Linked DNA regions of Daphnia pulex. The protein of the gene in region 1 purifies or fractionates together with the protein of each later gene. This does not show direct contact. Links are inferred from orthologs where the notes say so. Each region holds a gene or a part of one and is shown on either strand. Other genes may lie near its edges.

The links.
Region 2: the proteins of coatomer subunit zeta-1-like (region 1) and coatomer subunit beta-like fractionate together in Homo sapiens (co-fractionation; 8 studies listed by BioGRID and IntAct, with this or other methods). This does not show direct contact. The link is inferred for Daphnia pulex from reciprocal best matches to the Homo sapiens genes COPZ1 and COPB1.

Annotation. Positions count from the first base shown.
Region 1 is NC_060024.1:1,294,715-1,298,456, reverse strand, and holds coatomer subunit zeta-1-like, read left to right. Parts: upstream 1-1,769; 5' UTR 1,770-1,959; coding exon 1,960-2,151; intron 2,152-2,240; coding exon 2,241-2,486; intron 2,487-2,551; coding exon 2,552-2,685; intron 2,686-2,760; coding exon 2,761-2,851; intron 2,852-3,050; coding exon 3,051-3,098; 3' UTR 3,099-3,207; downstream 3,208-3,742. UniProt on the Homo sapiens protein: The coatomer is a cytosolic protein complex that binds to dilysine motifs and reversibly associates with Golgi non-clathrin-coated vesicles, which further mediate biosynthetic protein transport from the ER, via the Golgi up to the trans Golgi network.
Region 2 is NC_060020.1:2,118,452-2,122,891, reverse strand, and holds the start of coatomer subunit beta-like, read left to right. Parts: upstream 1-1,454; 5' UTR 1,455-1,606; intron 1,607-1,761; coding exon 1,762-2,142; intron 2,143-2,206; coding exon 2,207-2,467; intron 2,468-2,530; coding exon 2,531-2,723; intron 2,724-2,793; coding exon 2,794-2,912; intron 2,913-2,970; coding exon 2,971-3,099; intron 3,100-3,163; coding exon 3,164-3,426; intron 3,427-3,498; coding exon 3,499-3,810; intron 3,811-3,873; coding exon 3,874-4,096; intron 4,097-4,156; coding exon 4,157-4,440. Other genes in the region: uncharacterized protein LOC124192347, read right to left, coding at 141-207. UniProt on the Homo sapiens protein: The coatomer is a cytosolic protein complex that binds to dilysine motifs and reversibly associates with Golgi non-clathrin-coated vesicles, which further mediate biosynthetic protein transport from the ER, via the Golgi up to the trans Golgi network.

The DNA.
Region 1 (3,742 bases):
GAGCAGCCAGGGGTTTCGTGAGTGCATCGGCCAGTTGCTCCTGGGAGCTTACATAGTTTATCATCTCTTCTGTCATGTCGATCGTAACGCTTCCTTTTTCTGTCCGCTTCTTCTCCTTCTCTCTCACGCCGGCGTTTGTATTGACGGCATTGAGCTCTAACATGCGTAGTGGAGTTGCACTCCCAGCATGTTCTCGGTATACCAGCATGTTGACTGGAAGGGTGGCTTTTTCCTTTGTTCTGACCGTACTGGGCAGGAAGTGCTTGCTCTTTGTGCTGTGATTCATCTCTGTTCGGCTTACTGAGATAGGCAGTATCAGATGTCGATTTTGCTTCTTCGTCGTTGCGCAGGCTCTTGTCCAATGCTATAAGGCGAGTAGTCAGTTTCTTGAGAGTTTTCTCTGCAACAGGCGTGCTGTCCCATGCAAAGGCAAAAACACGGAACTCTGGAGGAAGCGACATGAGTATCTTTGCCATTATTTGATTATCATCAATAGCTATGTTGAGGCTCTTCAGACGGAATGCTATCTGTTCCAACTCAGTCAGGAAGCTTGATACACTTTGGCTTGGTCGAAATGTGCATCCATAGAACTTTGTCCACAATAGAGGTGCATTGTCTGCGGCATCTTCTTCATACTCAGTCTCCAATTTCATCCACATCTCTTGGGCTGTGCTACAAGACATCAGGATCCTTGATTGGTCTTCTTTGATGGCGCCAAATATGTTCTGCATTGCCGTGGTATTTCTCTTGTTCCAGTTGGTTATATCAGCTGCATTTTCAATCACCTGGTCAGCATTGCGTCTCTGATTGTGGTAACAAAACGAGAAGATGGTTAGGTTTGTGATATCCATGGCAGCCTCACATTATCTCAATGTGGAATCTCCCTCACATCATCTCGATGTGGAATACCTCTCACATTATCTCAATGTGGAATCTCCCTCACATCATCTCGATGTGGAATACCTCTCACATTATCTCAATGTGGAATCTCCCTCACATCATCTCGATGTGGAAAAACACTCAGCTGTCTCCTAGATGCTTGCAACTCTAGCACACACTTGTCCACCATCATATGATGGAATTTAGCCAGAGTGACCAAACAGATTGAGAAAGAAACACAAAAAAAGAGAAATGTCCAGCAAACACAAACACACAAAAAACAAAATCAAGTGGCAGAGATTAAGCACTCACGCCGGGATCTAAGTTTGTCAATTTAATAGTTGGTACCACGCCACAGATAGGCATCTCATATCGCGTTGTTGTCAGGCACGGATCACACACATAAAGAAAACAATAAATCATCAATAAACTTACTTCAGCAGGTTGCCGTTGAGTCCCGTTCACGACTTCCCAAAGCTCAACACTTTGTAACGCCAGCTTCATTCCAAATTTCCAAGACGCGTAGTTTTTCCCATTCAGACACCATACAACATGGCGGCGGCCATCTTTCTCCATCACTCCAGAAAAGAATTTCTAATTTCTTGGGAACAGTTAGCCGGGGACACACACAAAAAAAATAATTGTTCAGACAGAGTAGCTGTTAGCTGTGCGTACAGCTGGGCCCATAACCTGTTGATATAGAAATTAACACGTGAACCTGTTTGCTGCAAAGAACGCTTTGTATTGCTACTCGCCTAGCCACAATCGTCAACAGCACTGAGTCCCCCTCTCTTATTCCTTTGTCTGGGTAGGTCCTTCTCCCCCTCTCTTCTTTCCTGGCTATCCTGCGTTGCCGCACTGTCCAGTTTGTTTATCTTTTATACTCAACAAGCAGTTCCTAGATGGCGCTAACGACTGGCCCTTTTGCTTTTTCCCGTATCTTTTAAAACAAAAATAGATTTATCTCGTTAATGGTTTGTGATCAGTATAGGAAATTTATAAAATTTATAAGTTAATTTTTTTAATGGTTAATATAATTTTCTTACCGACATAAGAATCGTACTCTAGTTGAAGTACTCCATGGCGATACTACGCGAAAGAAACTGCCAACGTAGCATACAGGACTACCGGTTGTCAAGTAAGAACAACTCATCAACATCTCGAACGGAACATTTTCATTCACCCGTCTGTACAACGGTTCATCTTATTTCTCTTAGCTCTTGTGTTGTGGTGTATTGCATATTGTATAAAGAAATGGATAACCATGTCCTGGTAATATAGCTACTTCTAGTACTACATTTTCTTTAATCAGCTGTGTCAGACCAACAACAAAATGATACATTTTTATAAAATTTCTTTAGGAACCTTCTCTGTATGTAATTAAAGGAATTGCAATCCTTGACAATGATGGTAAACGTATTCTTGCAAAGTACTATGACCCAAACACATTACCCACTGCAAAAGAACAGAAGGTTTTTGAAAAAAACCTATTCAACAAAACACACCGAGCTAACACGGAAATCATTATGCTAGAAAACATGACTTGTGTCTACAAAAGCAATGTGGATCTTTATTTTTATGTCATGGGAAGTAGCCATGAAAATGAGGTAAAAGATGCTCACAAGTTGTTCACAAAATATTAGTAAATTGGAATTTTTTTCCCCTTATTTAGTTGATCTTGGTTAGTGTTTTAAACTGCTTGTATGATTCCATCAGCCAAATACTTAGAAAGAATGTGGAAAAGCGTTCTCTAATGGAAAATCTTGATGTGGTTATGCTTGCTTTGGATGAAATATGTGATTCTGGGTATGGTTTCCATTCAAACATGTAATCATGACAAGTTTATCAAGATACTATTACCAGTTTACTATTGTGTTGCAGGATTATTCTGGAATCAGATCCCACTGCTATATCATACAGAGTAGCTCTTCGGAATGATGACATTCCAATTGGGGAGCAGACAGTGGCCCAGGTATGTTTGATAACTTAACTACTTAATCAGATATTTAAATAAGGTTTTTTTCAATTTAATTAAATTTAAAATTGAAATTAGTTTGAAATTTTCATTTTCCAGCAGCTACTTCTAAACTAAACAATATACATTTTAAAAATTACTATAATTAAGGGAGAAGATCAATAAATTCTTTAATTATTTCCGTCTGATTTTTTAGGTGCTTCAATCGGCAAAGGAGCAGCTAAAATGGTCTCTTCTGAAATAAGGATCTAAACTATTTCAACCACAATAAATTCCGGTCGTTGAATCATCCTTATCATTATTTTTCTCCTTTTCCAAGTTGTTCTATAAAAAAAATACAAATCTGTTCTGTTGATGCCATCTTTATCAAAATAGCAGATAAATAATTAAAATCAATCCACCGTATTAGAAATTAAATTTTTTGTAACTTGTAACACGCATTATATAACCTGATGGTGTGCTTGGTATTTTACAGCGATCTTTAAAAGATTGTTTTCATTCATCAAAGAATAGTTTGCCTTTTTCTGACATTTACTTCGGGTTTACAAACGAATGAAAGCACAAAAGAAATTTGTTTCTATCACAACAGAGATGTGAATTTCCAATATTTTTCAGGTTGCACTGTAATTTAGGTGAAATGTTCTTGGTTTTAATTCGGATAGAACGTTATTCTCTTACAGTACAGCTTAAGTACAGCATTACACCAACTAAAGTTTGCCAGTTCATTTCGAAGTTATTGATAACGTCAATCTTTCGTCGATTAAAAGGTAAAAAAAAAAAAAAAAAAAAAAACGTTTCACTCGTCGTGTCTTTATAACGATATTGAATTCCAGGCTTGGACAGAGCGCATCAGTTTTTCGCTCCGTTGATCTATCAGCGATAAGCGGT
Region 2 (4,440 bases), on another chromosome or scaffold:
TTTGATGGTAAGGGGCAAGGCACTTGGAAGCGATAGCAATACAATAACAGTTATCAGAAAACTTAGCGTGAGAGTTTCCGAGTAAGGTTATTTGAAGGGTAAAATTACGACATTAACGGACTTTTCAGTGAATTCCTTACCTTCACTGAAATGTGACAAAACAGGCGATACAAACAAAAAAACTAAAAATAGAAGGAACAATCGCATGATGAACTCTCAACAGCGAATGACGACACCCCAATTAAAAATGAACTCGAAAATCAGAAAGTCTTGTATACTGGCCGATGACTTGGAGCCGTCTGTTCACTAACAGCAGTTGTCTTTCTTTATAGCTAGCTGTAACATCATGCTCTGTGGTGCCTGTGAGGAAAAAATCAAATGTCTTTCCGATTGCCGGTGGCGTCAAAAGAAGAAGACCCTAGTTTCCCTCTTACGGGAAAGCGTGATGTTTATCTATCGTGAGGATGGCCTCATTCTACCCACACGCTTTTTTTAAATATAAGATAATTTCTTTTACGTTGAAAATATAACATGTTTGCATTATAAAACGTTTTTTAAAAATTTAAAGATATTTTACTTGAATACTTGAACTTTTTTTAGATGGAAGGCCTACCAACACAAAAAAAACAAATTTTAAGGAAAGATCATCGTAGACGCAACAATGATAGTCGCGGAAATTTCCATGATTCCTTTTGCTCAATGCCTCAGTTAGTTTAAAACGATGAAAATAAATAATAAATGAAAAGTATCCTGAACAAACATAATTACATTTGATGCTAATAACATAAAACATAAATATTTAATATCGATTAGCTATAGGCTACAGTGAGCCGAGCGAACCAACGAAGTAACGACCATATTAAACGTATTAAAGCTGGTAACTACGAAATAGAGATATAACGGCCAGTACCTTCGGATGCTAATCGTTTCCAATTCTAATTTTCTGTGATTAATGGCAAGACGATTAATATGCAATCTGCATATTGTGAAGCAGTGAAGGTATGGAGATTGTGGCCATCTGCACATTCTATTTCGAACGAACATTTCTATTATCAAATAACTAAGAACAAATTGTATCGTCTCTTAAAGGCTTTGCCGATTAAATGGACGAAAAATTCTAACTAACTCCCATCAAAATACCTTTACACATTGAAAACAAACTGACCATTGCCGAAGATGGAGACGTGACTGGTGCTGGTCTTCAAACCTGCTTCAAACGTGTCGAAGAAGTTCACAGTGGTTCAGAGAAACATGGGTGACGATGACTAGGCAGTTGACACATTGTTTATCCGGGAAACCCACAAAAACTCTTGTTTTGATGGTACAGAGAGAGAGTATGCCTGGAAAATCTGGAAACCAACACAAGCTGGGACTGAATATCTATTTTGAATAAAAATAACAAAAAAACAACGTCAAAATTAAAACTCATAATGGCAACATGGCTGCGTGGTTGTCAATTTTACGAATTAAGATCTGTCGCTTACCGACTGACGTGGGTATTTTCTGACATTCTGCAACGTCAAAGGTTTCGTGAATTTCCTTCGTTTCATATAGTTACGGCTCACACAGAAAACACAACAAGCCGTTGTAATACAAAGAAATCAAGGCAAGTCATCCGACATTTTGGAATCGTTATTCAGTGTTCAACAAATACCATCGTTATAGATTTCGAATGGGTTGCGGGTCGCTGTCACAATAACATTTCATCGAGCGTAAACCGGTCCAAGTTTTCACGATTCATGTATTGTTTTGTTTTTACAGATGTCTGTGACTGAGCAACCTTGTTATACCCTCATCAGTACTCCAGATTCTGACTATCCACCTCCAGATCAGCTGCGAAAAGAGTTGGAAATTGGAGATATCAAAGCCAAGATTGATGCTTTAAAAAAGGCCATTTACATAATTTTAAATGGAGAAAAGATTCCAGGAATCCTCATGGCAGTGGTCAAATTTGTGCTGCCACTTCAGGATCATAATGTCAAGAAACTTCTGTTGATATTCTGGGAAATCATTCCAAAGACTTCAGCAGATGGAAAACTCTTGCATGAAATGATTCTCGTCTGTGATGCTTACAGGAGAGATTTGCAACATCCAAATGAATTTATTAGAGGATCAACATTACGTTTTCTTTGCAAGCTTAAGGTAAGCCAATTTCTTTTATACCTTAATTTATTGATAAGCTAATCTTTTGTAATTTACTTTTTAGGAACCTGAAATCTTAGAACCGTTGATGCCATCGATCAGGTCGTGTTTGGAGCACCGACATTCTTACGTTCGACGCAATGCTGTTTTGGCAATTTACACAATTTACCGCAATTTTGATTTCCTCATTCCTGACGGGCCAGAATTGATTGCCAATTTTCTAGAACGTGAACAGGACATGTCCTGTAAACGTAATGCATTCATGATGTTGATTCACGCTGACCAAGAAAGGGCGCTCTCCTATCTTACCTCTTGCATCGATCAAGTAATAGAACTATTTTAAGGTTTCCAATTTCCAAACAAACTTAAGGAAAACAAAATCTGTTAGGTTCACTCCTTCGGTGATATTCTGCAATTGGTCATCGTTGAACTTATCTACAAAGTGTGTCACGCCAATCCTAGTGAGCGATCGCGTTTCATTCGTTGTATCTACAGTCTCTTGAATGCCACCAGTCCGGCCGTTCGCTACGAAGCTGCTGGCACTCTAGTAACCTTATCGTCCGCACCGTCGGCTATTAAAGGTATTATTCATATTCACTAATATTTAATTTGGGTTTCCAACTTAATATGTTTTCTCTTCTTCTTGAACAGCTGCTGCTAGTTGCTACATCGAAATTATCTTAAAGGAAAGCGACAATAATGTGAAGTTGATTGTGCTGGATCGTTTGATCGCCTTGAAAGAGCAGCCGAATCAAGAACGTGTCTTGCAGGTATCTTGAATTTAATCATTCACATGTTACAAAATATTAATTATGTAATTCATTTCAGGAATTGGTGATGGACATCTTGCGGGTATTGGCTACTCCAGATTTGGAAGTACGAAAGAAGACACTATCCCTTATACTTGATTTAGTGTCTTCGCGAAACATAGAAGATATCGTGCTCGTTTTGAAAAAGGTAAGAATTCCGGTGAAATGGTAAATCGATAGGAATAATTTTCTATTGATGAATTATCTTGTAGGAGGTAACAAAGACGCACAACACAACCGAGCATGAAGATACGGGAAAGTATCGGCAACTTTTGGTGCGCACTCTTCACTCGTGTTGCATCAAGTTTCCTGACATTTCTGCGACCGTCATCCCTGTACTGACTGAATTCCTTTCCGACACCAACGAGCTAGCAGCCGCCGATGTTTTGGTCTTTGTTCGCGAAGCGATTCAGAAGTTCGAAGGACTTCGTCCATTAATCATCGAAAAACTTTTAGAAGCCTTTCTTTCCATCAAGTAAGTTTAAATAACTCCATTTCGTTTTTACTGGCAGCAATTCTACATTAGATGTTTTTTTTTTTTTCAAAGATCCGTCAAGGTGCACCGTGCAGCAATTTGGATCTTGGGCGAATACGCCACTTCGGCTGATGACATTCGTTCAGTTATGTCCAAAGTGCGACAATCGCTTGGCGAAATTCCAATCGTGGATGACGAAATCCGAAAAGCAGCAGGAGAGCAGACCGATCCGGAAAATCCTTTAGCACAGGGAACTGGGAGCGTTACTAATCCTGTTGCTTCTAGCGCCCGCTTGGTAACTGCAGATGGTACATACGCTACGCAGTCTATCTTCAGTGCTGCCGTAACAACCGCCAAAAAAGAAGAAAGGCCTCCTCTTCGAAAGTATGTCAATTCTGTTGATGTCGTTCCATTTAGCATTGCATTCATAATTAAATTTCTTTGTAGATATCTGATGGAAGGCGATTTCTTCATTGGTGCATCAATGGCTACAACTATGACAAAGCTGGCCTTACGTTTTGTTCAACAAGTGTCGAACCCGCAAACGCAAAACCAGTTTTGTGCCGAAGCCATGCTAGTGATTGCAGCGATTCTTCATTTGGGTCGTTCGGGACTGCCTCAGAAACCAATTAGCAATGACGATGCTGAAAGATTGGGGCTTTGCCTTAAGGTAAGTTATCAATGGTAAAAAATGAGTGAACCCCCATTACAATTTTCTTTTTCGACATAGGTGCTCTCGGATCGATCACCGATTTTAGTAGAAGTATTTACCGATGCCTGCCGTAGATCCATTTCACTTATGTTAGCTGCCAAAGCTGAGGAAGAAGCTGCTGCCCAAAAGAACTTAGAAAAGAACAGCCGATCAATCCAAGCCGACGACTTGGTCTCTTTCAAGCAACTGCTTTCACGCAATGAACTTGGTGGCCTCGAAGACGTATTTGAATCAAGTTTGTCGCAAGCTTTGGTAGGATCCGCTCAGCGAACTGGATTAGATCTGAGCGTCTCAAAACTGAA